4 linked regions of the Notamacropus eugenii genome follow. The protein of the gene in region 4 purifies or fractionates together with the protein of the main gene of each other region. This does not show direct contact. Links are inferred from orthologs where the notes say so. Each region holds a gene or a part of one and is shown on either strand. Other genes may lie near its edges. The genes, in order: STX6, STX4, STX16 and NAPA.

Region 1 (7,072 bases), on a different chromosome or scaffold from region 4:
ACAACAGATGCTCATCAAAGCAATACAATAATTACAGGATTTTGTCAAGAGAGTGAGTGAAAAGGATTGTTGTTATGCCTAGCTCAGGGCACAACTTAGCTCTGAAAAACAGAGCTGTCTCCTAATATCTTGACATTATTGTGTGTGTACGTTGTACATCTGATTTCTTCAAACTGACTCAGATCCTAGACAGCAGAAAATACACTTTAGTTTCTTTTTTAATCCCACTCAAAACCCATCACATTAGCCCAATGATTAGAAGAAGGTTCATCAAACTACCATCAAATAAGCAAATGTACAAAACTAAGCAATAACAAAATCCACTCCCTTCATCTTTCCATGGCACAAAAGGTATTACTAAATGCCTTCCTACTGAACAACCTTAACATCAAAGGGGGAAATAATGAACAAAGCAACAAAAAGAACAGCTCAACATTCCATGGTTGGAATTTTAAACTTCTGTCACTGTACCTATATTGGAAGGCTAAACACAATGAAAAGATGGCACAGCACTTGGTAGCGCTTTGAAATTTCATACAATTATCACGTACTTCTCCAAGTCTATAACTGCCATTTCTACTCGACTCAAGCATCAATGAGGAGAAACAAAGGATTTAAAATAACCAATTCCTAAATACCAGAAAACTTTATTATAGCTCACACTTTCTTAACTTAGAAAACTAAATATCATATATATATATATATATATATATATATACACGTGTGTGTGTGTGTGTGTGTGTGTGTGTGTGTGTGGAGAGGGGGAGAGAGAGGGAGAGAGGGAGAGAGAGAGAGAGAGAGAGAGAGAGAGAGAGAGAGAGAGAGAGAGAGAGGAGGGGAGAGAGGGAGAGACAGAGAGAGCTTGAGAGAAAAGAGCAGTGTTTTACAACGTATAAAGCACCGTTTCTTAAACAATCCAATAGTAAATGAAGAACCGGAGAAAGCAACAGTTTAGCTCAGCAGGTTTTTCCACCTTTATGACACAAAATTAACTATAGGGAAAAGAACTTTCAAGGGCACTATTCAGAAGAAGGATGAACTTTTTACACTGTATTTTCCCCCAAGAATCACAATACAATGATTAAATGTGCTTGACACTTGAGAGTAAAAATATTAGCATTCGCAAAAAAGACAACCTCTCTGTAGGCTTTGCCCTCTATAGTAATGAAGTTCATGACAACTAAGAAAGCAAAATAGCATAAAAAGTTAGCTATGTGTTTTGCACCCTTCAATCTTTCAGATATTCTTATCCAGGCAAGAGCATCCAGATCTGCAATTAAGAGGATTCAATTCAAATCCTATCAAGACCTCGGCTAAATCATTCAATCGGACCTCTGTGCTTCACTTTCTTCAACTGTAAAATACAGGGATTTTTACTTTCAAAGCATCTTGTAATACAAAATCTACAATGCTCTTCTCACCCGAAAATAGAGATTACATGCTAGAACTGTGATTTTTTTTCCCTCCCTGACGAATAACTTTCTACCAATGCAGGTCAGCACACAGAGTGCTAAGAGGATAAGTGACTTTTCTAAGGGGTTATAGGCTATTACATGTCAGAGGTAGGGCAATCAAGTTCTTCCTGGCCTCCTCTCTATCCACTACACTAAGATGCCTCTCCAACATATACTTCCTAATTAAGCTGTTACTGAAAAATTACAATCTTATTCTCTTTCTACCATTCGTTAAAGGCTTTAGTCAACTCAAAAAATGCTTTTTTTCGCCTTCCAACAAAACAAAACAAAAAAATCCCAACAATGGATAATCAGAGAAGACGCCAACTAATGGAAAAACAAATTTGAGACACTTAAAAGATCAATCCAGGTGATGACTTAGCAGAAAAAGCATCTGAAATAGACTGGATTAACTACAGGAGTTTTTAAGACAGCTCATTTCCTTCAAGGAGCGTGGGAAAACACCCGCTGCTACTGGAAAGCCGTGCAAAGTTTGGTTTGGCTGGTTTCGCTCGGTTTTCTTTCCAACACCATTACTGAGCATGGAAGGTTGTTTCTCTTCCATAGTATTACTCAATACACTTTAAAAAATCTCCCCCAGCATTCAGTTTGCTCCGCATTCCCTCTGCCCACGGCTCCCCACCCCCCGGCTGTCTGCCCACCCTCCCCACGCCTCCCTCCCAACAGGCTTCGACACTTCTCGGCCGTCCGTGGGCTCCCCCAGACTGAAGGCTCCGTCCTGGAGACAATGGGAGTTTACTCAAGTGGAGTCCATCTGGGGGCTGGGCCGGGGACTCCACAGGTGGAGGAAATCACTCCCCCGGCGCAGGTCCGTCCATTCTCCGTGGTCAGTGGTCAGAGAGGCGGCCCCCAGCCCCGGAGCTTCAGTGAATGGCCCCGAGCCCCCCTCGCGGCCCGCGGCTGACACAGGCCTCTCCTTTGACGCATGCAATGGCTCTCACTCCGGGACGTGGGTAACCCACGCATGACCGTCCTCCCCTCTCCGAACACGCAGTGCACCCCCACCCCGTCACCGTCCGGGGCTGACAGATCGGCCAGACCCCGGTCTCAGGGGGCTCCAGGCCGCAGGGGTGCTCGACCCTGAGGAAAGGTCCCCGGGGCTGCTCCGGAACAGGCCGGCGCGCTCCGTGCGTCCGTGCCCGAGTGGGAGCGCGCGCGGCGGGGCCGGGCTTCCTTCCCCAGACCGCCTTACTCACCCTTTCACCACAAAGAAGGGGTCCTCCATGGACATGGCGTCCCGGCGGCCGCCCCGCCGCAGCCCGTCCGCACGCACCGGGCTCCTCCTCCCCGCGCTTCCGCCGCTCCCTGAGGTTCACGGGGCTTGAAAAGTCGGCGGGCCAGCGAGGGGAACGCGCGCGGTGCCGCCGGCGCGACAGTCTCGCAGGAGCGGCCTGCCGCTAGCAGCAACGCAAAGGAGGCGGCCGCAGGCTCCAGACTCGATCACCGTCCGCCTCCCCGCCCGGACCCTCCCGGGCCGGCTCCCCCCCAAGCCTCCGCCCCTAGTGGCCCCGCCCCCTCGGCCCCGACCAATCACAAGCACACTTACTGAAGCACCACTTCCGCACTCCGCTCTCACGTGACATGGCCAGGGCCCGCCCCCTCCTCCAGTAGAAGCTGTGGGTTTTCGGTCACGTGACGAGAGTTGGGGCCGCCAGGAGCCTCGGGAGTTGGAGGCGGGGCTGCTTTCCCGTGTCACGTGGCCGGGGAGGCTCATTTCTAGAGGAGGGACGGGTCTCCAATGATACTCTTTTCATACCTCCCCGGGGGGGAGGGACCTTTTTCACCCGGTTTACGAAGTGGTTTGAGTTTCCCGCTCTACGTTTTCTGTTGCTAGACCGTGCCTCCCTTCTTTTTACTTCCATCTTGACAATCGAAAGATTGTTCCTTTATTTTCGTCACATCTGACCCTTGGGGCCCCTTTGGGGTTTTCTTGGCCAAGATCCTGGAGCGGTTCGCCTTTGCCTTCTCCGGCCCGTTGGACAGACGAGGAAACTGAGGCCCACAGCGTGAAGCGAGGCGCCGGGGGTCACCAGCTGGGAAGTGCCCGGGGAGGGCCGAGCCTGTCCGGGGCTTCACCCCCCAGAGGCCTGCATGGTTCCTGTGCTCTAGTCTGGCCAAGTTTCTTTTCTTTACGGTGTTGTGCTCCTATAAGCTGGTTCTTCTAGACTCAGAAATGAAGGGGATCCACTAATCTGGATTCACTGAGGACCACGACTGCCGTAGTGCATAATGTAATGTCCACGCTTTGTTGTATTTTCGCTTATTTTGTTACGCACTTCCCAATTACACTGTAATATTATTTAGGGAGGGCTGTTGGAGACCTGTCATCCGGACAATCAACAAACAATACATTAAACCCTCATTTATAGCTTGCCTATTTCCTTTCCGGCCTCAGGAGCTGACTCCAACACATCTCTGCCCTGCCAGGCCCTCCAGGAGCTTATGTTCACATAGTAGAAGACATCGTTAGAAAGGAGGAGGAGGAAAACAGAATAAAGTATCTGTTCAGCAGCCTTGTAGAGAAAGGATAACTGGGCATCCTCTGGCCATCCAATTTACCTTCCTTTGGAGAGGAGAAGGAAGGGGAGGGGAGACAAGTACCAGAAGTTACAGCCTGGCTTGAGCATCCTCCTAAAAATGTAAGTTCTACAAATAGCTAGCAAAGCTAGTGGCCTGAGGGATAAGAAGTACTTCCGTAAAGTCCAGGGGTGAAATGAGATTTCTGAGGCATTTGCACAGAAAGCCAGGAAGAAACCAGGAGTGCAGTCATTCCCCTAGTTGATGGGCATCCCCTTAGTTAAAAAGTGGTGCTATTGATATTTCTGTATATGTGCCTGTCCTTTCTGTTTCCCTTTGAAATATTGCCCTAGTCATGGTACCACTGGATCAAAGGGTAGGTATAATCTAGTGACTTTTGGGACACAGTTCCTAACTGCTTTCCAGGACATCTGGATCAATTTCAGAATGCCACTAACTAGGGCATTAGATGCCTATCTTCCTACATTCCCTCCAATAACTGCCATTTCCCTTTTTTAAAAAAAATTTGCCACCCTTTCCAATCAAATGAATGTAAAATAGAAGTTTAGAAGGGTTTTTTAATCAGTATTTTTTATTATTAGTAATTTCAATTATTTTTTCATGTAATCAGTGATAGCTTGAAATCCTTCCTTTGAGAACTGCCCTTTGGTACCCTTTGTCCATTTATCTACTGGAGAATGAGAAATTCTGATATATTAGTTCTCTATATATCTTGGATTAGTAAATTTTTTTTCAGAAAAACTTGCTGTAAATATTTCTTCCTAGTTAACTGTTTCCCTTCTGATTTCAGCTAAATTAATTTTTGTTTACACAAAAGTTTTAAAATTTTATTTAATTGGGGGGCAGAGCCAAGATGGCAGAGTAGAAGGACAGAACTGTAAAAGCTGTCCCCCATAGCCCATAAAATACCTGTAAAAAATGACTCTAAACAAATTCAAGAGCAGCAGAAGCCACAAAATGACAGAGTGAAAGAGATTTCCAGCCCAAGACAGCCTGGAAGACAGACAGGAAAGGTCTACCACACTGGGCATGGAGCACAGCCCAGCCTCGGCCATGGAGCAGCAGGGACAGGACTAGAACAGTCTTCAGGGGGTGGAATCCCTGGCAGCAGCTGCTGTTCCCAGATTGTTCAACCCACAAACACTAAAGACAGCTTCAAAGGTCAGTGAGAAAACTCTTTCACCTGGGTGAGAGGGGAATGGGGGGGGGGTGTCTGGCCTCACTGGCAGCAGCAACTGCAGTGGCAGCAACTATTTTTGGAGCCCTTGGCCTAAAGCCCCTGGGGGAATTGAGCAGCTGATCTGGATCTCAGTCCTGAGTGGCTCTCCTGGGCTGAGGAAGAGTGCTGGCGTGGTGGAGCTGGAGGCAGTTGTGGAGAAGGAATTGTACTCCCAGATTCTGGGCAGAACAGAGTGCTTGTGGTTGCTCACAGATAAGAGCACAGGCTAGGAGAGGAGGAACTTCCACTTTGGAGGAACTGAGAACTTACAGGTCCCCAGAGTATACCCTCCTCTTGACAACAGTCTCAAAAGTCAAGTAATTGACTGGGAAAATGCCCCCCAAAATAAGACTATAGAAAGCTACTTTCTGGATGAAGAGGTATTTTCTTCCATCCTTTCAGATGAGGAAGAACAATGCATACCATCAGAGGACCTAAAAGTCAAGGTTCCTGCATTCACAACCTCCAAAATAAATATGCAGTGGTCTTAGGCCATGGAAGAACTCAAAAAGGATTTTGAAAATCAAATAAGAGAGGTGGAGGAAAAATTGGGAAGAGAAATGAGAGTGATGCAAGAAAATCATGAAAAGCGAGTCAATAGCTTGCCAAAGGAGACTCAAAAAAATGCTGAAGAAAATTACACCTATCTCAATTGGCAAAAGAGGTCCAAAAAGCCAATGAGGAGAAGAATGCTTTAATTTCATTTAATCAAAATTATCTAGTTTATCTACTGTGGTTCTCTCTATCCCTGGTTTGGTCAAGAGCTCCTTCACATCTATAATTTTGAAAGGTATCTCTAACACTGCTCCTCTAATTTGCTTATGGTGTGACTTTTTTTATTTCAACCATGTATTTATTTAGAGCTTACTAGGGTACATAGTGTAAGATAATATTCCAACAGTAATTTTAGAGACAAAGTCCACCAACTGTGGGAAACCTTTGGCCTTGAGGTCCCATGAGGTCCTCTAGGTCCTCAAGTATGACCCTTTAACTGAATCCAAGTTTCATAGACCAAATCCCCTTAATAAAAGAATTTGTTCTGTAAAACTTTGACTCAATCAAAAGGTCCTAGAGGTTATAAGGTTAAGGAACTTTGAAGATCTTCCCTGCCCTTTAATAGGTCCATATGACTGGCATTGAACTTTGACCCAGTCACAGCTTGAGTCACATGGAGTCTATGGTGGGAGGATCTTGCTTAATGGGTGGATTGGGAAAAGTCAGTGAGGTGTAGCTGAGAGAGAGGCAGTAGGCAGAGCAGAGCAGAGCAGCTAGCTTGGGTGAGAAAGGGGCATTTGTCTACAGGAGTTTGTTTGTGGGGAGGCCCAACAGAGGAAAGATTTGGTGATGGCTGTCCTTCCTCTATTGGTAAAGTGTACAAATTTCCTTGTTACTATGGTGGAAATGACATTCTGGTATCTGAACAAATATTTTGGTTTCCTCTTTGAGAAAGAGAGTTTATATTTTGTGAATTTACCCTGGAAATAAGCCTGCATATCTCTATATAGTGGTTGCTGTGGGTATGGCATTGATGATACAGAGGCCTACATAGGGCCTCGAGGTGTTCCCCACCCCTGGTCTAGACCTAATTTCTGCCAGATTGCTTTCCAGTTTTCCTGGGAGTTTTATCAAATAATGAGCCCTTGCCCTTTTATTTGTGTCTTTGGGTTTAGCAAACTGTCTTCATTTCTTTTTGTATCTTGTGTGAGATCTGATACTGCTAGGCCTCCTTCTCTCTCCCTGCCTTTTTTTCCATTATTTTCCTTGAGATTCTTGGTTCTTTGTTTATTCAGATGAAAATCATTAGTTTTCTAGTAAATATTTTGGTAGTTTGACCAATATA
Region 2 (7,901 bases), on a different chromosome or scaffold from region 4:
TTTTTTAAATGTTTGTTAGATTAACTTGCAAATCTATTTCAATTCTTCAGAGACTGTTCTATTTCATATCTTGTCATACAGGAACACCAGTAGAAAGTTGGCATTTAAAAGATAGTCCTTTATGTCCATAGAAAACTTGGGATCATTCAAGGAGTTCCATAATTTTCTGAAAACAATTCATCCCATTCTCCCTGTTCTGTTCAACTCCTACTTCAATTTGTTATCCATTTATATTGTTTATACCAGTTATATAGACTAATAGAGAAGCTCTATAGACTTTCCATGTAAACATATGTCATAATCTGAGAGACATTCATAATGGTCTTTTTGGATGGTCAGGCCAAACTCTTTGAACAGTTACAAATCTTTTCCAACAGTCTTTTCAGTGCACCATTTATTTATGAGGATGACAATACAATGTCATCCCCAAGCAACAATATCTATAGGACCTCACCATCCACAGAGAATCCCCATTTATTTTCTGCACCGGTACAGTGACAAATATATAAGGGGAAGAGAGTCTTTCCTGTTTTATGATGATTATGATTTCTACTTTTACATCTTATCAGAAATCTTCAGTGATTTAATGTAGATAGAGAGGCATCTCATCAGAAAAGAGCCTTTAAGGTGGCATTTTGCCCCATTGATTCAAATACTTTGAATAATCAACAAAGAACATAGTAAGATCTTCTATTCTTTATATTTTTCAAACAATTTTGGAACGATGTTCTTTTTGAAATATCACTTCTGAAACTCTGCTTGTTCCCCACAAAATTGAGGATTCTCTTGAATTCTATATATGTGAATTGAATAAAGATTATGTATAGGTAGAAAAGTAGGTAGATAGATAGATAGAAAGACAGACAGATAGATAGATAGATAGATAGATAGATAGATAGATAGATAGATAGATAGATAGATAGATAGATAGCTGTTGATGTCCTCTTATTTGATTCTTTTAAACATGTCTTTGGTATGTTCTCCTGACTCAGAACCTTACACATTGACTCTAGCTCTCCCACAACTGCATGTTCTTTAGCATAAATCTCCTCTGCATATACTTACTCCATCCACTCAGGTTGCTTTTCCTATCTTTGTATTTATTAATGGCATGTCTAACTCCCCTATGAGCGTATCCTGGAATATGTTAGGGTCCAAGTGTGGACTATTAAGGTTCCCTTACTGGTGAAAAGTTTGCCATAGTATTCTTTAAAGATTATTTGTATTTTTCTTCTATTTGTTGTCCTTTCATTTTAGTCTCCAAATACCTTTTGGATGACCTTGTGGAGCTGGATTTCTTGCAAAAGTTTCATTAAACTAGCTGTACCTTCTACTACTTCTCCCTGCTTTAAGGCTAGATTGCTAATAATTGTCCACCATCCTTTGTAAAATTTTTGAAAAAAATTCTTTTTTTAGGTGCTTAATACATGTTTATTGACTTACTGCCAGTGCCTTTCATTTCAAGATTACCTCCCATCTACAATGTAAAAATCTGTTATGTACATAACTATTTACATGTTTTCTCCCCCCAGTAAAATGCGGCCTTCTTAAAGATAGAGACCATGTTGTGTGTTTTTTCTTCTGCTTTCCATGTATCTCCAGCTCTTAACAATGTCTAGCAAATATTAAGCACCCAATAAATGCCTGCTGACTGACTAACACCAGAAAAAAAAGACACATAAACTGCCTCTAAACCTAGAAAGGACACTAGATTCAGAAATTTAAGAAGACTATGGACCACCAAATCCAACCTCCATTTATTGGCATTGAAAATCCTTCACAAACTTGATCTGACATAACTTTCCAAGCAAATAGTACTCCCATTCACACATTCTACCATCCAGTCAATGTGTCCCATTTTCTTTTCCTCATATATAAAACTTATATCTTCAGTCTTTGTACAAACTATCTGTTCCCTGGTCTGGAATTGACCCTTTCCTTACCTTATTTACCTCTTAGAATCCCCACCTTCCCTCAAAGTTCAGCTCATATTTCAGCTCCCACCCAAGGTTTTTTTTTTCCTTATATAATTTATTTATTTTTCAGTTCTTAACATTCACTTCCACAAGAATTTGAGTTCAAAATTTTCTCCCCATCTCTCCCCATCCCCTACCCCAGGACAGCATGAACCCCATTCACCCCTTCCTCCAGTCTGTCCTCCCTTCTACTACCCACCCTTCTTCCATCCCTCTTCCCCTCTATTTTCCTGTAGGGCAAAATAGATTTCTATACTCCATTGCCTGTATAGCTTAATTTCCAGTTGCATGCTAAAACAATTTTTAACCTTCATTCTTAAAGCTTTGAGTGCTATATTCTCTCCCTCCCCACCTACCCACCATCATTGAGAAAACAAGCAATTCAATATAGGTCATACATGTGTAACAATGCAAAGCACTTTCATAATAGTTATGTTGTAAAAGACATTTCCCTCTGTCCTATCCTGCCCTACATTTATTCCATTCTCTCCCTTGACCTGTCCTCCCACAACAGTATTTGCTTTTGATTATCCCTTTCCCCAATTTGCTGTCCCTTCTATTATATTCCCTCTCCTATCCCCTTCCTCCTTGCCTTCCTGCAGGGTAAAATCGATTTGCATATCCAATTGAGTGTGTTATTCCCTCCTTAAGCCAAATCCCAAGAGAGTAAGGCTCAATTATTTCCTTTCATCGTCCCCCTCTTCCCTTCCATTGTAAAAGCTCTTTCTTCCCCCTTTTATGTGAGATGATTTGCTACATTCTACCTCTCCCTTTGTCTTACTCCTAGTACATTCTATTCAACAGTAAATTTTATTTTTTTAGGTATTCTCCCTTCATATTCAACTCACCCTATGCCCTCTGTGTGTGTGTGTGTATATATACACACACATACACACATATACCCATATACATATACATACCTACACATATATAATATACACATACATACCCATACCCACTTACATATATATATATATATATATATATATATATATATATATATATATATATATATATATATATATATATATGTATGTATGTATGTATATTCCCTCTAACTACCCTAATACTTAAAAAGGTCTCATGATTTACAAATAATATCTTTCCATGTAGGAATGTAAACAGTTCCACTTTAATGAGTTCCTTATGGCTTTTCTTTCCTGTTTAACTTTTCATGCTTCTCTTGATTCTTGTATTTGAAAGTCAAATTTTTTATTCAGCTCTGGTCTTTTTAACAGGAATGCTTGGAAGTCCTCTATTTCATTGAATTTCCATTTTTCCCCCTGAAGTATTTATTATACTCCATTTTGCTGGGTAGGTGATTCTTGGTTTTAATCCTATCTCCTTTGACCTCTGGAATATCATATCCCAAGTCCTTTGATCCTTAGTGTAGAAGCTGCTAAATCCTGTGTTATCCTGATTGTATTTCCACATTACTTGAATTGTTTCTTTCTGGCTGCTTGTAATATTTTCTCCTTGACCTGGGAACTCTGGATTTGGCTACAATATTCCTAAGAATTTTCCTTTTCAGGTCTCTTTCAGGAGGTTATCTGTGGATTCTTTCCATTTCTATTTCACCCTGTGGTTCTAGAATATCAGGACAGTTTTCCTTGGTAATTTCTTGAAAGATGATGTGTAGGCTCTTTTTTTGATCATGGTTTTCAGGTAAATCAATAATTTTAAAATTATCTCTCCTGGATCTGTTTTCCAGGTCAATTGTTTTTCCAATGAGATATTTCAGATTGTCTTCTATTTTTTCATTCTTTTATTTTTGTTTTATAATTTCTTGATTTCTCATAAAGTCATTAGCTTCCATTTGCTCCATTCTAATTTTGAAGGAATTATTTTCTTCAGTAATCATTTGGACATTCTTTTCCATTTGATCAATTCTGCTTTTTAATTAATTTAATTTATTTTTTTATTATTTTTTATTTATTATTTTATTAATTTAATTAATAAATCAGTTCTGCAATTCTTCTCCTCATTGGCTTTTTGGGTCTCTTTTGCCATTTGGGTTAGTCTATTTTTAAAGGTGTTAATTTCTTCAGCATTTTTTGGGTTGCCTTTAGCAAGCTGTTGACTTGCTTTTCATGACTTTTTTGCATCGCTCTCATTTCTCTTCCCAATTTTTCCTCCACCTCTCTTACTTGATTTTCAAAATCCTTTTTTAGTTCTTCCACGGCCTGAGACCACTGCATATTTTTTTGGAGGTTTTGGAAGCCTTGACTTTTAGGTCTTCCTCGGATGGTATGCTTTGTTCTTCCTCATCTGAAAGGAAGGAAGAAAATACCTTTACAGCAAGAAAGTAACCTTCTATAGTATTATTTTTCCCTTTGGGGCATTTTCCCAGCCAGTTACTTGACTTTTGAGTCCTTTGTCAAATGGAGGTTATACTCTAGGGACCTGTAAGTTCTCAGGGCCTCCAAGATGGTACAATCAAGGAAGAGGAGTTTACTCCTCTCCTAACCTGTTCTCTGGTCTGTGAGCAACTACAAGCACTCTTTTCTGCCCAGGATCTGTGAGTAGGATTCCCTCTCCAGAGCCTCCACCAGCTCCACCATGTCAGTGCTCCTCCTCACCCCAGGACTGCCACTCAGAACTGAGACTCAGATCAGCAGCTCAGTGTCCCCAGGGTCTTTAGGCTGAGGGCTCCAAAAGTGGACACTGCTGCACAGTGGCTGCTGCCATCTAGGGGCTAGTGCTGGGGCCAGACCATGCTCCCCTCTCACACAGGGGAAAGAGCTTTCTCATTGACTTTTGAAGCTATCTTTGACGTTTGTGAGTTGAGAAATCTGGGAACTGCAGCTGCTACACATGATTCTGCACCCTGGAGCCTGCTCTAGTTTTGTCCTTGCCTTGTGACCCAGACTGGGCTGTGCTCTACTCCGAGCTGGTGCAATAGATCTTTCCTGTTAGCATTCCAGGCTGTCTTGGGCTGGAAATCTCTTTCACTCTGTTGTTTTGTGGTTTCTGCTTCTCTAGAATTTGCTTAGGGTCATTTTTTACAGGTATTTTATGGGCTATGCGGGGAGAGCTTCTACAGGTCTGTCCTTCTACTCTGTCATCTTGGATCTGCCCCCTTTTGAAAAAATTTGTAGTCTAATTTGCCTTTGGCAAATGAAGAAGTTGCCTTTGGCCCCCATCTCTCTCAACTTGGCAAGTAAGTAAAATGTTTACTAAATGAAGCATTAAACATTGTTTACTAAATTAAGCTCCTTTGGGTCTTTTTATTGTGAAAATAGCCACAGTCATTAGTCTTCTGTATAAAAGAAATTTTCATTGGTATCAATGTCATTTTGGATCCCCATTTCCCAATTTTCATTGCTGATTATTTGTTTAAATAATCTAGGATTGAGTTGTTTAAATAGGAACTCATACTTTTTCATTATTGTTCTCTTTACTTTTTAATAATTTTGACCTTTGCTTAACATATCTGATTGTACACAAATAACTGATCCAAGATAATTTTACACCACTAATGCATTTTTCTGTCCATTAGCATAAAATCTATTTCATTTTTTGCAATGTTATTTGTTGCTCACCATGTGTAGAACCTTACTATGTCTTTTCTTGAAGAAAATGTTTGTGAGATAAAGGCATGAGGGTTCTGTGAAATTTACAAGTCTTTGACTTCTCTCATCCCTTTTTCTTAAAATCTGCTTTCTCATTTACATTTTATCTTCACTTTTTTCACTTTTATTGAAGTTATTAAGCATCAAAATATATGCTGCTTTACTTTGGAGGACCTTATCAATGTTTTTATAGAATTTCTCTACCTACCTCTTCATCCTCAACAATCAATATTGGTCCAAAAGCTACAATTATTTTCATGGTGGTCTTTTTACAAACACTTATCAGTACTGTAATACCAGATGACCAAATATCCCATGAAACAGCATTTCTTAGATGGGATGGGGGTGCAGCTGGATGGTTGAGCCTGAAGTTAGAAAGAAGAAATAATCATCTTCCTGGGTTCAAACCTAACCTTAGATACTTAACTAGGTGCCACTTAATCCTATTTGCCTCAGTTTCCACATCTATGAATGAGCTGGAGAAGGAAATGTCAAATCATTCCAGTATCTTTTACAAGAAAACCCCAAGTGGGGTCACAAAGAGTCAGATATGACTGAACAATAACAATGTTGCTACCATTGGCTATACTATAAGAGCAACTCCTTTCTTTGCCTCTTCAAGGTGTACTGGGATTTATCTTCCATTTAGATGTAACTTCCTCTTGTTTCTTGTTTCCTTTATACCAAGAATTTTAAGACTGATATGATTCAACTCCTTTAGCAGTCATATGCTAAGTGGGGAAGGCGGAACTGAGATCTGGAGGGAAGACATGATTTTATATTGACATTGTGTGAGTCAGTAGAGGTAAAGCTGAATAGCAGTGAATGCCCAGTTGAGGTTACGTAATATAAATGTATAGTAGTTTAAATCAGCTTGGTTTTCTCCATTAACACTGAGTATTCTCTATTATTGTTGCTGTTAATAATAATAATTGTGGGTTCCCCTAATCAACCTTTATTACAACAGATGTTTTGAAATAGTTCTGTGAAGACTCACTGCTAGGTATGTCCTACTATTGCTTCCATTTTAATAACAGGAAAATGAGAGTAAACATTGGGACAGATGGCAGATATGATAGGGTGCATTTAGTTGTCATCCCCTGGTGTCTTTTATAACATATATTGTTCTTGGTAACATACTACAGTTCACTTCCCTTTTCCCTTTAAGTCATCTGTAATATTGATTCTGAAATTGTGGTGTTCCATGGTTCACAAACACAAGGCACCACCCCAAGAATATTGGTATTAAAGAGATCATCTTTCGAAGCAGTGAGCACTTAGGATATACTCACAGGACTATGCAATTTCCTAAATGTCATCTGGCCTAAGCACTGCCTGGCATATACATACATACACATATTTATAAGATACACACATATACATGTATTTATATGGGTATATGTCTGGTTAATACACATATACCTTCTTTTTAGTATGTGTGTTGATACCTGCAATCAAAAGACATGGGTTTGAATTCTGGTTTAGTTACTTCCTAACTATGTGACTTTGAAAAAAGCCATTTGAAAATTTTTTTTCTCAACTGAAAAATAAGAAGGTTAGCATAGGTGATCTTTGAGTTCCTTCTAGCTCTAAATCTGTGCACATGTGTGAGAGAGATAGCAGGGTCTTGTGGATAGGGAGCTGGTCTTTCCAACCAGGAGGACTTGGGTTTAAATCTTACCTGTGACACATACTGGTTTTATGACTCTGGGCAAATTACTTAATCTCCCAGTAGTCTAGTCAACTCTGTACTACATTAAAGGTGCCTACTGGAATTGGTAGAGGGGGTTTCCTCATCAGGGAATTTCCCACAGCAATGCAATCATGGGTTTAGTCTTCATCCCTATCCATGGTTGGCAACAATGGAGCAGAAAATGAGTGGGCAACTTTCAGAGTTTTGGTGAACAGCATCACATTTGCTCCTTTGGGTCAAAACACTTGCAAACATCAGGATTGGTTTGATGAAAATCATGGGGAAATTCAGAAACTACTATATAAAAAATGAGAATTCCACAATGTTTAACAACAGGACAGTTCTCCCAGTTCTAGGAAGGCAGTTTTAAAATTTCATCAAGAGCAAAGTGCAAAAGAAGCTTAGAGAGATGCAGGATTCTTGGATCAGTGAGAAGACAGAAGTGATTCAGTTTTATTTTAATAGTAACAATTTAAAGCACTTCTACAATGCCCTTAAGGCTATTTATGGATCAAAGATCTTTGATGCATCTCAGCTACTCAGTGTTGATGGAGCCACACTAATCAGTGATAAGGACATGATCCTGGAGAGATGGGTTGATGTAGCAGAAAGCACCTTGACATACATGGGGGGCTTGCTATTACAGGTTCTGAGATCTGC
Region 3 (7,664 bases), on a different chromosome or scaffold from region 4:
TTTTAAGTCACAAGCCCATTTTGCGAGGGTTAATATAGTTAAAACTTGATAATATCATACATAAATCCACTTAATCAGGAACATGTAAACATTGCAACGTGCAGAAAACAAACAAATAAGTGAGGGCAACATGACAACCTCTCCTCTCATCCTCTTAGGTGAGAACCTCACCTCATATTTTTTTGAGGAAAGTAAGTCTGTTCAATAAGGGCTCCTGCTCTCTCCTCCTTAGATATCCTCTTCTACTATTTACTCCTTTATGCCAGTCTCTGATAAAGAGACAGCCCTTCTCACAAAGGCCCTCTATGAATACCCCTGATCTCATTCCCTCCTGTCATCTCCAGCAAAGTGCCCCCATTATCATTCCCTCTCTCATCACAAACTTCAAACCCAACCCCAGTGTACTGGTTCCTTCCCCGCTGCCTACAAACGTATCCTTTGAACCCTGACTGCTATCCCCAAAGCTACTGCTCTTATTCCTCCTTTCTTTCTCTCTCAAATTCTTTGAAAAAGCCAGCTACACAAACATCTCACAGCATATACCACAATAAACAGTTAGTGTAAATATAAAAATATATCATAAAGAAATCTGAAGAAAAGATAAAAGAAATAGGATGATGGGGATTTATCAAACAAGGTACAAAGAGAACAGATAAAAATGGACAATATTGATTAATAAAATAGAAAAGGTTTTACTTAAACAAAATCAAGCATTTGGAATTAGAAGGGAAACAGTTAATTTGCGAAAAGATGCAGGAGATATATATATATATACATATATATGTAAAACAAGAGCCATTCTTTCCTAGATGGTCAGATATGATAAAGCAGTTTTCAAAAGCAACTCAAGCTATCAACTACATAAAAACAATGCTTTGAAATCACTAATAATAGTGGAAATGCAAATCAAAACAATTCTTGAGCTACCATAGCCATCTGATTAGCTATAATCAACAGAGCACTAGCATTACCAGGAATTGGGAAAAGCTTCCTCTAGAACGTGAGACTTTAGCTGAGATTCAAAGGAAACCAGGGAAGCCAGGAGACAGAGAAGAGGAGGTAAAGAATTCCAATTCTGGAATAGCCAATGAAAATAGTCAGAAGGTCTTCCAGTTCAAGTGTCTTTTATGCAGGATCACCTCTGTGGACCTTGTGAACTCTGATTTTTTTTGTTTTTAATTTTAGGGTAGAAATAGGGAAAGTTATATCCTTTCTGATTAGTATAAGAAAACATCATAGAGCAGCTAGAATTCCAACAGTCTAGCTACAAATAGCTTGTCCAGTTGGGCATGAAGCATTCAGGTATACAGTAGGGCTTATGGAAAAGGGTGGAAAAGGAAAAGGAGAGAAAGGGGTTGAAGGTTGTTTCAAATAAATACCTATTCTCTGTTGGTGATGCCTGGGGGCACTGAGGCAAAAATCATTGGTATGGCTTCAGAAACAAACCTGTTAGCAGCTAATTTTTCATTTTTCCTGCCCAGCTGTCTGCATTTGGACAGTTAATCACCTGAAATACTTTTGATGGATTCATCTGTGAATTTATCTGTGTGCGTTTCATTTCCTAACTCATTCTATGGATTTGATTTCCAAATTCTGTTTTTCTCTGATGGCACTATCCTAACCTATTAGAAAGGGGGACTCTTGGAAAACCTCCCACAAACCAGTCCATTTGTCTTCTCCTTGCCCTCCCAACCCCAAATTTAAAAAGTACACAGACCATGGCTTGTCACTATTATATCCAACTCCCTCAGGTGGAAACTTTATTTGAGATTAATAGAGACCACAGTTGGTGGCAAGGAGCTTTATGCTTCTAGTTTGTGTGTGAAAACTGGAGTCTCTAATATCGGGTGGAGACCAAAAGAGCTTCATTCTAGATAAAAGAAGGAAAAAGTATTGGGGAAGTCTCTCATTGTATAACCCTGCAGTGCCACCTACAGATAGTATGAGACACAGAGAGGTGGGACTAAGGAGGAGGAGGAGGAGGAGGAGGAGGAGGAGGAGGAGGAGGAGGAGGAGGAGGAGGAGGAGGAGGAGGAGGAGGAGGAGGAGGAGGATTCCAATCTTGAGCTAGCACCTTAGCGGATGGGAGTCAGGGATCAGATAAAGTGGGAGGAAAGCAGAGGTGTGAAAACATGGAGAATGCTAATCTGCCTGTGCTTTACTGGGTTTGGGGCTGGGGAATTTCTGTAAGTCATTTGATGAAACCAGTTTAAGGACTGGTTCACACTGCTCAATTGATGTCAGTCCTTTCAAAGAACCATCTTTGCAGGGAAGGAGAGAAGGTAAGAAATAGAGAAAGAGGAAGAGGAGAGGAAGGAGAAGGAGAAGGAGGCGGAGGCGAAGAGGGGGAGAGGCAGCATTATGTAACCACACGGAATTGAAATTCTCTTTCCTACCCCTTACTGCCCTCCTTTTCCAAGCACATGATACCTTAGGGTACTATGACCCTTACTTCAATCCTAAAAGAAACTATACTGAATCCAATGTTAGTCTGGGCTAATACCATAGACATAATGTCTATGGTAGAAACATGTTATCTCTACAGGAGGTAATGCCTATAGGTAGGCAGATTTTCTCACCTTTATGAAACTTAAGATTCTTTCTCTGTAAAGTCAGGGGGTTGGAATAGGTGAGCTCTAAGATTCCCATCCGTTCTATCAGTTCTAAAAGTCCTTGAGGGCAGGGGTACTGTCCCTTATTTGTTTCCCCTAGGGCATAGATCTTTAATCAGGGATCCATTAATTTAAAAGATACATAGATAGATGATAGATACATAGATAGATAGATGCCATATTTCAATATATTGAATTCCTTTATGAGTTTATGTATTTATTTATGCATTTAACAACATTATTTTGAAGAGTCCATAAGCTTCCCCAGAAAACCAAATGGGTTCATGATACAGAAAGGCTAAGAACTATATTTATTATCCTGGAGGATAGGGAATTTTGGAAATGGAAGTGTGTGTGTCCCTGGCCACATCCAGAAATGGCCAATCTGCAGGACTAGATGATGTCTTGGACCCCCCCAGGATTTCCATTTCTCATGGCTCCCTCCATGCCATGTGTGTTTGGACCGACACCAAAAACACAAGCCAAGACAGCTCTCTAAGCTACCATATATCAAGTGTTTCACAGAATCTTAGGAACCTTAGAAATCCCTTAGTCCAATCCCGTGGAATAAAAACTCTTGATAATTCCCGACAAGTGCCATGTAACCATTGTTCGAACACCTCTATTCAGTTCTGGGAAGCTTTCCACTTTCAGAAGCAGCCAGTTTCAACGGGGGTCAGCTTTAGCTGTAGTGAAGACTCCCTTTGGGTCCTGTTGGACTAGGTCGCAGAATAATCGAATTCTTCAGTCACTTCGGGTCCGAGCTACTTTCCAACTCTGGTATTTTGTGACTGAAGAATTCGATTATTCTGTGACCTAGTGAGCTTGCCAGGCAATGGAGAAGAGATCTGCTCGGGAAGACCTGGGTTCGAATTCCACCTCCAAAGTACATTGTCTGTGTGACCTGGGAAAGTCACTTAACCACTCAGGGATCAACCATAAGTGGTTGAGAAGGGACTAATTTGCATCGGTAGAACTTCCCTTAACCGGTGTACTTCCCATTCCAATGAAATGACAGGTCCGGTGTCTAGTCCACCCTTTGGGCCACGGACTGGTGTTCGCTTCGTTTTGGGTCCCCAGCGCTTAGAAGAGTTTTGTACTAGTAGGCTCTTCCATACACATCGGGAAGTCGCCTTGAGTTAAGGAGAAATCTGCCCACCTGATCTTCCCACCCCTTTGGTGGTCGTTAACCCCAGAATGAGAGGCTAATAAAGAGCACCGGCCCGTGGGGGCTGGGATGGAGTCACCAGTCTGCCCTTTCCCAAACCTCTGAGATTTGGGAAATCCGCTTCACGTTCATGGGCTTCATTTCCTCACTCATCAAATGAAGGGGCTGGTCTCTAAGGAAGAGTCCAGCTCTGAACCCTATTCTCCTTTCAGGAAGAGAAAGGTAGGACAAAGCGGAACTAGAGCAGCATTTGAGGATACGGCCTCACCGAGAAAGCTCTGAGCGCAGCTACCAAGCCGGGCTGGGGGCCGGGCCAAGGGAGCAGGGCGGAGCTGAGGGAAGAGCGCCCGGAACGTGAGGAGCCCGGGCAGCAGCGGCAGGGGCCACTTAAGGAGGACGGACCGGAAGCGGGAAGGGGGACTCTTGAGCCGATGGAACGCCGACGCGGAAGTGGCCGGGCTGCTGTAGTCAGATCCGGGGATGGATGGAGCCGGAGGCGGCGGCGGCGGCAGCGGCGGAGTACAGGAATGATGAGGCTGAGGATTGCGCTGCTTCCCCCCCGGGAGGCCCTGTAGCCGGAGGGGGGACGAGGCGCCGGGCGTGAGGCTCTCCTGCCTCGAGCCCCTGGAGGGAGGAGGACGAAGACCCGGGACGTCGGGGCCGGGAGCCCGGCTGGGCTCTGACAGGCCCGTGGACGGGCTCCGAACGATCTGGAGGGGCCAGGCCCGGCCGGGGCTCCCTGAGGGGGACCCAGGACAACCCCAAGAAGGGCGGGGGCTCGGCAAGACACCCGGGGTCGGGTGGGAATTAGACCGTTAGAAATCCAAGCTAGGATTTGGGGAAGGAGTGGGCGGGGGACCTCCCCCTTTACTCCCCCCTTCCCACTCTGCCCCTGCCCCTTGAGGGCAAAGTGGGGAAGCTTGAGGGGAGGCGGCCCCCGCAGGGTCCGAGGAATTCTGAGGTTCAGGCCGAGGCTCTGAGTGGGGGTCCCCCACGGGGAGGCGTGCAGGGTTAAGCATGGCCACCCGGCGTTTAACCGACGCTTTCTTGTTGTTGCGGAACAATTCCATCCAAAACCGGCAGCTGTTAGCCGAGCAAGTGAGTAGTTACACCTCCTCCACCTCCAGCCCTCTGCATTCACGTAGCGTTGCTGCGGTGAGTCTCCTGCCGGCCTCCTCCACCTGCTCCTCGCGGTGCCCCGCGCTCCGGCGTGCGCGCCGTCCCTCTCTCTGTCTCTCTCTCTCTGTCTCTCTCTGTCTCTCTCTCTGTCTCTCTGTCTCTGTCTCTCTCTCTCTCTCTCTCTCTCTCTCTCTCTCTCTCTCTCTCTCTCTCTCTCTCTCTCTCTCTCTCTGTCTCTCTCTCTCTGTCCCTCTGTCTCTCTGTCTCTCTCTCTCTCACTCTCTCTGTCTCTCTGTCCCTCTGTCTGTCTCTCTGCCTTTCTGTGTGTCTACGCGTCTCTGTCAATGCCTTTCTCTCTGTGTCTCTCTTGAAATGTCGTTGTCTTGTGGTTGTTAGGAGGCATCAGACTGTAGTGCTAGGTTTTGTTTTGAATTCTCCCCCCCCTGCCGTCTCTCCCTCCTGTCCCCCTGTCCCCCCATTCCTTGGGCTTTCCCTTCCAACTTTCACAGAGCCGCCCTCGCTGCGGACTCGGACGAGTTCCTCCCGCCGGGTCCTGCTCGGTTCTGAAGCCCTGTGTTGGATGCTTCATGAAGCGCTGTCTCAGGCTTTCGTGGCTTCATGTTTACCCTCACCCCCTCCTCCCCTGTCTTTTCATTCCGATGCCTCCCCTTTTTGTCCAACAGATATTCTCTTCAAAATGACTCTGTGGAATGGAGTCGTTTTAGCCTCATTTTATCCAGTGAGGATTTTCCATTCCTGTGTGGCAGTCGAGTCTCTTCTTGCTTTATGCTTTTAATAATTTGTTTCCCTATTTCCTGAAGAAGACAGTTTTGTGAAACTGTAAGGTTGGGAAGGGGTGGACTTCCCTGTTTTCATTTTCCATTCAGGAAATGAGTCCTTTCATTATGACTGCCTTTCACACGGTGTCTGTGTGGGAATTAAATTAATACTGGCACTTTTTTTTTTTAGGCCTATTAGCCCAGCAGTCCAGTAAATTGCCTGTGGCACCACACTTTTCAAAAATGAATCCTAGCTTGAGTTTAGATTTATTAGTAGAAATGGTGTTTAAATTAAAATTTAAAATTACATTAAATTAAAAATGGTATTGGTGGTTATATTATTAGAAGACATGACTCAGCTCTTACAGAGACAAATACTTAGGAACTGTCATTTAAACCCATAGACTTAGAAATGCCACTTTAGAGACTTACTAGAAACTTGCTCTCCTTCAGAGACCCCTTGAATTTTGCTATGATTACCACCAATTTCTTCTGAAAATTTATTTCATATGTGGGATATTCACAAAGTGACTCTCTAAGGATATACTCGGTCCCTTCTTTATCGATTCATACGTATAGTCTGTATTTTTTGAGCTGAAAAAGTATGGTTTTGTTTTATGAGATGTTAGATTTGAGATGAAATAGGCCCAAGTACCAAAACATGCGTGACCTGCTATATTTGCATATACACACTTGGTTAGGAATCTGAAAAGCTATGATCCTTAGAGGTATTGTTGAGTTAGGTTGGATCTAACTTGTAGTGACCCCGTTTGAAGTTTTCCTGTCAAAGATTCTGGAGTAGTTTGCCATTCCCTTCTCTGGCTCATTTTACAGATGAAGAAACTGAGGCAAACAGTTAAGTGACTTGACCAGGTCCACAGCTAGTGTGGGGGGCTGGACTTGAACTTTTGAAAATGAGTCTTCCTGATTCCAAGCCCAGATCTTAGAAGCATGCTATACTTAATATCCTGTTGAGCTTATTAGTCTACTGGGTTCTGGCGATTATTAGCTTTATGACCCTAGGCAAGTTACTTAACCTTTAATTACTTCAAACTTTAGGAATTAATAGATCATAAATTTATTTGCAATCTGCTTCTGTGGAGGAATCTTCCACATAATGGGTTATGTATGCTGGGGAATAAAACTACTGTATAGAGGTTCTCAGAAAACAAATCTTATAAATTATTTTTAAAATACAATCTTGAAAAAGGCTAAAGATGTTTGATAATATAGACATGGAATTATTCAAGCCCTAAATGGGGAAAGTTAGACTGGTGCAACTTAGGAAACAGAAGAACAATATATCAATTACCAATTTCTGTTTATACCTTACAGAACAAATTGTTTAAAAGTTATTGTGCCTTTCATAATGGAGTAGTAGTGAAATAAGGCTGTTTATACTTTGCAAGTACAGCCATTTCCCAGCAGGAAACCAGACTTTTCAAAAAGTATGTGATAGTAGTACTGCTGATCAAGGCACAAAGCCCTGAAAAATAAAATAGCTTTGAAAATAGTAGTATGTACAAAATTCTCAATTTTCTCTCAATTTTTTTTCAAAAGTTCGAAATCAAACTAGAGAGGAGGCATGGTAGGATATGGTAGAATAGAAGGAGCACAATTGTTTAGGAGTCAGGAAGCCTAAGCCCTTTCCTCTGCTACTAATTTAACAGTGTGATCCTGGGGAAATCATCTCTCTGAGTTTCACTTTCCTTGTCTGTGAAGTAAGGGATTAGATTAAATTATCTCTAAAGCCTTTAGAAGTCTAAAGTTCTTTGATACTAATATCTCTTTAACTCAGGATTTATGATAATCAAAAAGCATTACCATCTGCTGGGTTAAGATTTGCACCTTGGTTTGTTACATTCCTTTGTTTCAAGATCAAACACAGTAAGTGGCTACTCCAGAACAAGGAGACGTGTTGATTGAAAAATGAAGTTATGATTATTGGTTTGGTTACAAATAGAAAGAAGAATTTTCCTGACCAGC
Region 4 (7,701 bases):
CAATCTAGAGAAAACAGCCTCCATAACTAGAAATGTTCCAAAGGGCTGCCTCAAAAAAGCAGGACTTTCCATTATGTGATGACTCCATGTGGGGGATGCTGTGGAAGGGATTCCTTTTCAAGATGTTCCCTTCCCAAATCAGACTCTTGAGCCACACAGATTAGAAAGAGCTCTGAACGATGCTCTGCTTCTTGGCTCCTTGACCTAACATCCAATGTGCCCACAAGCCAGCCCTGCACCTAGGCTAGTCTCATTCTTACTTCTGTTCACCCCTTTTCTGACCATTTGCAGGGCCTTATCCCTCTCTGCCCAAGCAACACCCACCTACAAACTTCTGAGGCTCAAGCCAAGCTTCCATTTCTCTAGGATGCTCCTTCTAACCATCACAATCATCCCAAAATGGAATGGGATGCCTTGTAAATCAACATTCAGCTTGCTTCTCTCGATTCTTCCAGTGCTGAGTCACAAAATCACAACTTGCAGCTAGAATAGTTAGCTTATGGGTCATCTAGTCCAAAACCATGGCCAAGTGCAGGCCAAGTTTCTGAGAGAGGTTCTAGAATCCAGGCCACTTGTTAGATTTCACAGTACATTGCCCCTCATATGGGCAGTATTGTCTATGATCTGAAATCCTCATGATCAGCTGGTGTCTCCCTCCCCCCAGTACAGGCTGGCACAAGCAGGGCTGACCACAGGACTGGTATTCAGGCAGGACCTATCAAACTGAGACCTCAAATCACATTTCAGGCTACAAGGCCTCAACACTCCAAGCAAAAGGTAAACGAAATCCTCCAAGGAACTGTCTCACCGTGACCCTCCCCTTAAGTTAAACTTTAACTTTTTCTCTTGGGAATAAGTGGGAAAACAAATCCCTGTCCAATGCAGGGAGTTGGGAATTCCAGACACGTAACTGTCAACACTCACTTCCCCACTCCCCAGCTTCTCTCCACTTCCAGTTCTCGGCTCTCACTGTTTCCCATGTCCAAGTATCTGAATATTCTCCTCCCCACTTTTTCTTCCAGATCTAGTGCCCCCATTCCAGGGTCTTCCAATACTGCAGGCCTTCTTAATACAGCTTTCTATACTTTCTAGCCCCTCTTCCTCAGTTTTTCTTCCAAGTCTTTTTTCTTTGTGCCCGCCAGCAAGCTGTTCCCCAAGGCCACATGTGGCCTTCTCGGTCCTTGGGTATGGCTTTTTGACCTTCTCCAAGTTTTACAGAACAAATCCTTTTAATAAGGGGATTTATTCTATAAAGTTTGGATTGAGCCAAGGGGCTGCACTTGAGGACTCGGAGGTCACATGTGGCCTCGAGGCCACAGTTCTCCATCCCTGCTTTAGACCATATTCCTTACCTCTTTCAAATCAAGGCAACCAAAGTTTATTATGAACAATTGTTCTGGAAGTTCCCTGAACTACAAAGATTAAAAGCGACACATTTCTTGCTTTCAAGGAATTCACGAGGGAGAAAAGAGAAGTGGAAAGAAATTAAAGGCACAAACAATCAAGTTATTTCCCTTCTCAATTCTCCATGCCCACCACACACACCCTCCCCCTCTCTCCCTACTCTCCATCCCTCCACTTCCTTAGTTTTTAGTTGCCTGGTACCCCAATATCCCCTCCTCACATTCTTCAGTCCTACGTTCCCCTCCTTAAACTCTCCAAGGCATCAAATATTTACTGCCCGCAGGATCCTCTCATTTTACAGGTGAGGAAACTGAGGCCCACAGAAGTCACAGGGCCTGCCTACAGTCACACAGCTAGTAAATGGGAGAGCCTGGATGGGAACAGAGACCATCAGGCTCCAAACCCTTTCCCCCCCAGCAGCAGCTGTCTGGCTTCATCCCCGGGGCTGACCCTTTTCCACTAGCCAAAGACTCCCTTCCCCGGGGCCCTCATCACCCTCCCAGGGCCCCTCCTCACACACCCCACTCCCAGTCCCAGGCCGGGTCCCCTCATTCCCCGCCCCCCAGTCCCAGGCCGGGTCCCCTCATTCCCCAACCCCCCCAGTCTCAGGCCGGGTCCCCTCATTCCCCAACCCCCCAAGTCCCAGGCCGGGTCCCCTCATTCCCCAACCCCCCCAGTCCCAGGCCGGGTCCCCTCATTCCCCAACCCCCCCAGTCTCAGGCCGGGTCCCCTCATTCCCCGCCCCCCAGTCCCAGGCCGGGTCCCCTCATTCCCCAACCCCCCCAGTCTCAGGCCGGGTCCCCTCATTCCCCAACCCCCCAAGTCCCAGGCCGGGTCCCCTCATTCCCCAACCCCCCCAGTCCCAGGCCGGGTCCCCTCATTCCCCAACCCCCCCAGTCTCAGGCCGGGTCCCCTCATTCCCCGCCCCCCAGTCCCAGGCCGGGTCCCCTCATTCCCCAACCCCCCCAGTCCCAGGCCGGGTCCCCTCATTCCCCGCCCCCCAGTCCCAGGCCGGGTCCCCTCATTCCCCGCCCCCCAGTCCCAGGCCGGGTCCCCTCATTCCCCGCCCCCCAGTCCCAGGCCGGGTCCCCTCATTCCCCAACCCCCCCAGTCCCAGGCCGGGTCCCCTCATTCCCCAACCCCCCCAGTCTCAGGCCGGGTCCCCTCATTCCCCGCCCCCCAGTCCCAGGCCGGGTCCCCTCATTCCCCAACCCCCCCAGTCCCAGGCCGGGTCCCCTCATTCCCCGCCCCCTCCCTGGCCCGCCCCCCGGCCGGCCGCTCTCACCCGAAGAGGCCGGAGAAGAAGGACTGCGAGTTCTTGACCTTGCGCTCGGCCTCGGCCAGCAGAGCCAGCGCCTCTGCCTCCTTGCCGGAGTTGTCCATGGCGGGGAAGCGGCCGGAGTCTCGGGGGGCACAGGGGCAGGGCAGAGCCGGGAAACCACAACAGAGGAGGGCTAAGACGACCGACGACGACGGAGGACGGCGGCAGACGCGAGGCACGTGATCCGCATTGGCCAATCACCGACCCCTCGAGCCGGTGGGCCCCGCCCCAACGCACACCCCCTTTCTCCACCTCCAGCCTCGTAGAGCCGCGTGACTCCTGTGCGCCAATCCCTGCCCGCCGTCCTCTCGCCAGACCTGCCTCCCGTCGGTCTTGCAGCACGTGACTCAAGATACCTAGCATCAGGTGACAACTTCCTAACTTTCACCCCTCCCATCCCGATGCCTCGCCTCCCGCCCGCCCCCCTTGCCCCGGATGTTGTGGTTACCCGAAGAAAAGGGGTAGGAAGGATTTTCCACCCATTGCGCGTGCGCTAGGGGAGGGTAAGCGTGCGTCTTTGATAGGCGCTGTCATGGCATGTCGAGGTGGGCCGAGGAAACAATGAAATGCGCCTGCGCGGCCGCTGGAACACCACGCAAAGGCGCATGCTCAGGCTGCTGGGCCTGTTTACTGGGTCTTCTCCCTCTGTTGACCAAACCAGGGAATGAAGGTGAAAGACCCAGGTCCCAGGGGGCCACAGGGCGCATGCGGAGAGCCGAGCAGCTGCTTTCTGAGTGCGCCGTCGCCAAGGGCAGAAAGCGACTGCGGAGGACTGGCCCCACGTGGCCCTCTCTGCGCTGGCCGGAGTGTCCCAGGGCACGAAGGCGGGGCTCTCCGGCCGAGCTCCCCACTCCGCTCCGGCGTCACCAGGAAGAAGGGGAGCCCGGCCCCCTCCCGGCCCGCCCCAGGCACGGGGCTCCTGCCCTCCTGGGAACCTGGGCTCCGGAGACGGACCGAGGGACTGCTCCCTCACGTGACGGATCAGGAGACAGAAAGAGCCAGCGACCGCCTCCTCCCGCCTCGGCCCAGGCTGACCTCCTCCTCCGACACTGCCCGGCGCCTCCAGGGAGGCTCTGTGCCCACTGCCTGTCCCAGGCGTCCTCTGCTCAGCGGCTGCCCCGGGCTGCTGAAGGGAGGTGGAGGAAATCCCGCAGCTCCTCTGACGCGAGCTGGGCCCTCGGTGGGTGCTGCCGGCCCGCCCCCCCTCCATCCCTGATGTCTCGGCCCGCCCCAAGCTCGAGAGCCTTACCTCCTCCTCTCCGGGAAGGCTGAAGCTACGGTGAGTTCCCTCTTCCTCACCGGCATCACGCAGGTCCTCCTGCCCCCTCCTCCATCACTGCCCTCCCCACGAGGCTGATCCCATTTCATCCCTTCCTCTCTAGGGGATGATTCCCTGCGCCCACAAACATGCCATCCTGGGGCCCCACTTTGTCCTCTTAGAGCCCGACAGCGCGGCCTCAGACTTGATCATGCCAACACCGCGCTGTCCAAGTTACTGATGATCTCCGATCCAGTGGCCTTTCCTCAGTCCTCATTCTCCTTGACCTCTGCAGCCCTTGGCCCTGCAGAGCACTCTCCTCCTGTCCCTCCCTTTCTTGATCCCTCTTTCTCCTTTGCTGGATCCTCCTTCACATCGTGCCCTCTGACCCCCGCGTTCCTGCCTGGGCTGTCTTCCCTTCTCCCCTTGTGCTACTTCACCTGGTGACCTCATTCCCTCCCATGGATTTAATTACCATCTCTATACTGATAACTTGGGGGGGCACAATGGCTAGAGCACCGCAATCGCAATCGGGAGGACCTGAGTTCATTCAAATCTGGCCTCAGATACTTTCTAGCTGTGTGACCCTGGGCAAGTGACTTGACCCTGTTTATCTGTGGCCATGGGAAAGGAAATAGCAAACTACTCTGGTATCTCTGCCAAGGGTTCAACAAAGAGTTGGACACAATGGACAGCAGCGTTGATAACTCTCAAGTCTCCTGTTCCTGCCCCAGCCTCTCTTGATCTCCAGGCGCCTTTCAGACAGCTCAAACTGGATGTCCAGTAGACTCATACCAGACGTGTCTCAAAGTAAAATCACAAACTTCACCTCCAGTGCTGGCAAGCCCCTCACCCCCAGTCCCTCAGGTTCACACAGCCCAGGACCCATCCTGTACTCATTAGCTCTCCCCTCCCCCCCATTCCGAGCTGTCATATACCCCCTTCTCTCTTCCAGCACTGCCCCTAGCCTGGTACAGGCTCCAGTCACCCCACACCTGGACTACCACAACAGCTGCCTGGGTGGAGGTCCATCCAGGTCTGATCACACCCCACCTCCCCCCAATAAACTCCAGTGGCAAATAGAAAATGCTGCCTGGCCCCCTCCTACCTCCCCACCCTTCTCATGCCACACATCCCATCCAGTGAGCTGTCCCACAAAACCCCCCCATCTCCTGGCACTGAGCACTCTGGTCACTCCCAGGGCCTGGAACACCTTCCCTGCCACCTTTATGGGAAGGCTTCACCAACCTCTCTTCATACTAGTGCCTTCGGTTAATTATTTTCTGTTCTGCAGGAAACATTCATTCCTGTATCTAGCTTGCTTTGGATACATTTGCTTATCTCCCCTATTATACTGTGAGCTCCTTGAAGGCAGGGACTGTTTTTGCCTCTTTTTGTGTGCTAGATGCTTGGCATGCAGTACCTGACACGTAGTAGGTACTTAATAAATGTTCCCAGATTGATTGATGAACCGATCCCTGGTGCCTGTTCTTTGTCCCCTCCTCTTTTGCTTGGTGATTCCCCAGTTGATATCCCACCCACCCCACAATGATCTCCTTTACTTATGGGGGTAAATGTCTTAGTCCTGTTCCTTCTTAAGGCCAGGGGCTATTTCCAGTTCTATTTCCCAGAGGTATCTCCAATGCGCTACATACAGTAGGTGTTTTATAACTGCTCAACTGAACAGGATGAAAAATGGCAGGCCAGAAGACCTCTGATGCATTAAGAAGTCCCAGCAGCACACCAAGAGCCATTCAAAAACCCAATTTAATAAGCTATACAGTAGGCACGTACAAAAAAACCAAACAATGCACAAGTCACCACAGGACCTTGGACTCAACGCAGAAGGATCCTCCTTGCGTGAGGGAGGCCCTGACATGTCATCGCTATGAAGGTATTTTCCCACTGATTCTCTGAAATCGTGGCCTTTTCCAACAAAAATAACAAACCCCAAAACTTAGGCAAAGATTTAAGAGCTACTCGGATCCAACTTTTTGTCTTTTTTCTCTCCCCCAGAGAGATATGATTGGAAAAAGGGGAGAGGTCACCCAACTGAATGGTATAGGGCCTGGACATCCACACCACACAGCCTTAACAATCATGCAATGACTGTTTCCTGCCCCGTTCCTAATTATGACCCAACATAGGATGTGGCTGCCCCATCAGACACCCGAGCTATTTAACGGGACCCCAAAGAGAAATTGTGGTCACATTGGGGCATGCTCCCCATTGGGCCAAGCTCCCAGCAGCTCCTCCAGGCCTGGTCACCGGCTCTTTCCAAGTCGGAGGCCCCGGCCAGGTAGGCCCCCCCAGGATCCTGGCCTTCCCATTACCACCGGAGGGGGCCCCCCTCCGCCCCAGCTTCCTCCTCATCTTCCTCATCTCGTGGCTCGCTCCTAAAGGGCTTCACGGGCCATTTCATTCTGACCAGAGGCTCCACGTGCTCCTGCAGGCGATGGCGCTTCATGTGGGCATTTCGACTCTTAATCTTATCAAACACCCTGAAGAGAGAGTGGTGAGAATGGCATGTCCAAGGGCCTCAGAGGACCAAGTGATGCTGAGCAAGCAGGGCTCTGGAGGGCAAATACCTCTCACATTCTCGGCACGGAAACACGCCCTGGCTCTCAGCACTCCCAGGCGGCTCAGGTGTCCTCTTAGGGCCAGCGGTTGGGCTGGAGGAGACACTGGCCTCTCTCTTGTAACTCTTAGCTTTGATCTTCAGCTCTGGGTTTGGCCGGTGACTGAGCCGGTCTCGAGGGCTGCAGGTCACCTGAGGAGAGGAGATGCTTAGGATCCCACCACTCTGGGGAGTTCAGACGCCAGAGACACAAGACCCCTACCAGAGGAAGTCCTAATGACTGAGGGTTGCAAGAGTGAGGAAAAGTCAGGACGTGGTTTCCTATATGGGCCCTTCCCTTCAGGACCCCCACCCAGAGATAGAGGGGACCCTGGGAACCCCAACCCCTCAGGTTTCCCAGCATCTTTCTACCTTTTCCTCTGTCCTTTCTACCTCATCCTGCTCTCTCTTGACCCTCTTTTCTAGCCCTGGGGCTCGGCCGCAGTCAAACTTGATCATTTTTTTCCAGATATAATAATATTCAACACACTGGGCCACATTCTTTGTCTGAATCTAGTAAAAGAAAATGGAAACGGGTCACAGAACATGCTCACATGGCCTCATGACAGCCTTGACTTTGCCAACCAAACTCTAGACTCCTGCCCTACTAAGCTGCAAATCCACCCGCTTTTCCATGGCCTGAGAGAAAGAACACTGGATTTGCAGCCACAAGCTTTACTGTCGAGTCTGTCTGACTCTCCATGACCCCTGGCAGAGATACCGTTTTCTTATCCAGCTCATTTTACAGATGAAGAAACTGAGGCAAAGAGGGTGAAGTGCTTCGCTCAGGATCACACAGCTGGTGTCTAAGGCCTGATCTGAACTGATTCTAGGTTCAGTGCTCTGTGCACCATGGCTCCTCTAGTGGCCCTGCAGCCCAAAGACTGGGGTTCAAATCCTAGCTCTGAGCCTTCCTCCTGGGGCAACATTGAGTGAGTCACGTGACTGCTGAGCACTTCTGAGAGGTGTTTGGCATTTCTGGGCTCCTCTTACTCCCAGGAAATGATTTCCTATTTATCATAAACAGAGCTTGCTTGTTCTCTTCCACTAGCAGACTGTGAGCCCCTCAGGGACTGTCTTCTGCCCCTTTTTGTGTGCCCA

The links.
Region 1: the proteins of NAPA (region 4) and STX6 purify together in Homo sapiens (affinity purification with mass spectrometry; 3 studies listed by BioGRID and IntAct, counting the BioPlex papers as one, with this or other methods). This does not show direct contact. The link is inferred for Notamacropus eugenii from reciprocal best matches to the Homo sapiens genes NAPA and STX6.
Region 2: the proteins of NAPA (region 4) and STX4 purify together in Homo sapiens (affinity purification with mass spectrometry; 4 studies listed by BioGRID and IntAct, with this or other methods). This does not show direct contact. The link is inferred for Notamacropus eugenii from reciprocal best matches to the Homo sapiens genes NAPA and STX4.
Region 3: the proteins of NAPA (region 4) and STX16 purify together in Homo sapiens (affinity purification with mass spectrometry; 4 studies listed by BioGRID and IntAct, with this or other methods). This does not show direct contact. The link is inferred for Notamacropus eugenii from reciprocal best matches to the Homo sapiens genes NAPA and STX16.

Annotation. Positions count from the first base shown.
Region 1 is NC_092873.1:464,543,898-464,550,969, reverse strand, and holds the start of STX6 (syntaxin-6), read right to left. Parts: upstream 3,016-7,072; 5' UTR 2,707-3,015; coding exon 2,672-2,706; intron 1-2,671. UniProt on the Homo sapiens protein: SNARE promoting movement of transport vesicles to target membranes. Targets endosomes to the trans-Golgi network, and may therefore function in retrograde trafficking.
Region 2 is NC_092874.1:377,695,296-377,703,196, reverse strand, and holds the start of STX4 (syntaxin-4), read left to right. Parts: upstream 1-4,900; 5' UTR 4,901-5,136; intron 5,137-7,901. UniProt on the Homo sapiens protein: Plasma membrane t-SNARE that mediates docking of transport vesicles. Necessary for the translocation of SLC2A4 from intracellular vesicles to the plasma membrane.
Region 3 is NC_092872.1:506,554,776-506,562,439, reverse strand, and holds the start of STX16 (syntaxin-16), read left to right. Parts: upstream 1-4,664; 5' UTR 4,665-4,797; coding exon 4,798-4,935; intron 4,936-7,664. UniProt on the Homo sapiens protein: SNARE involved in vesicular transport from the late endosomes to the trans-Golgi network.
Region 4 is NC_092876.1:29,450,713-29,458,413, forward strand, and holds the start of NAPA (alpha-soluble NSF attachment protein), read right to left. Parts: upstream 3,009-7,701; 5' UTR 2,788-3,008; coding exon 2,690-2,787; intron 1-2,689. Other genes in the region: uncharacterized protein, read left to right, coding at 3,263-3,997; ZNF541 (zinc finger protein 541), read right to left, coding at 6,313-6,484, 6,572-6,753, 6,973-7,113. UniProt on the Homo sapiens protein: Required for vesicular transport between the endoplasmic reticulum and the Golgi apparatus. Together with GNA12 promotes CDH5 localization to plasma membrane.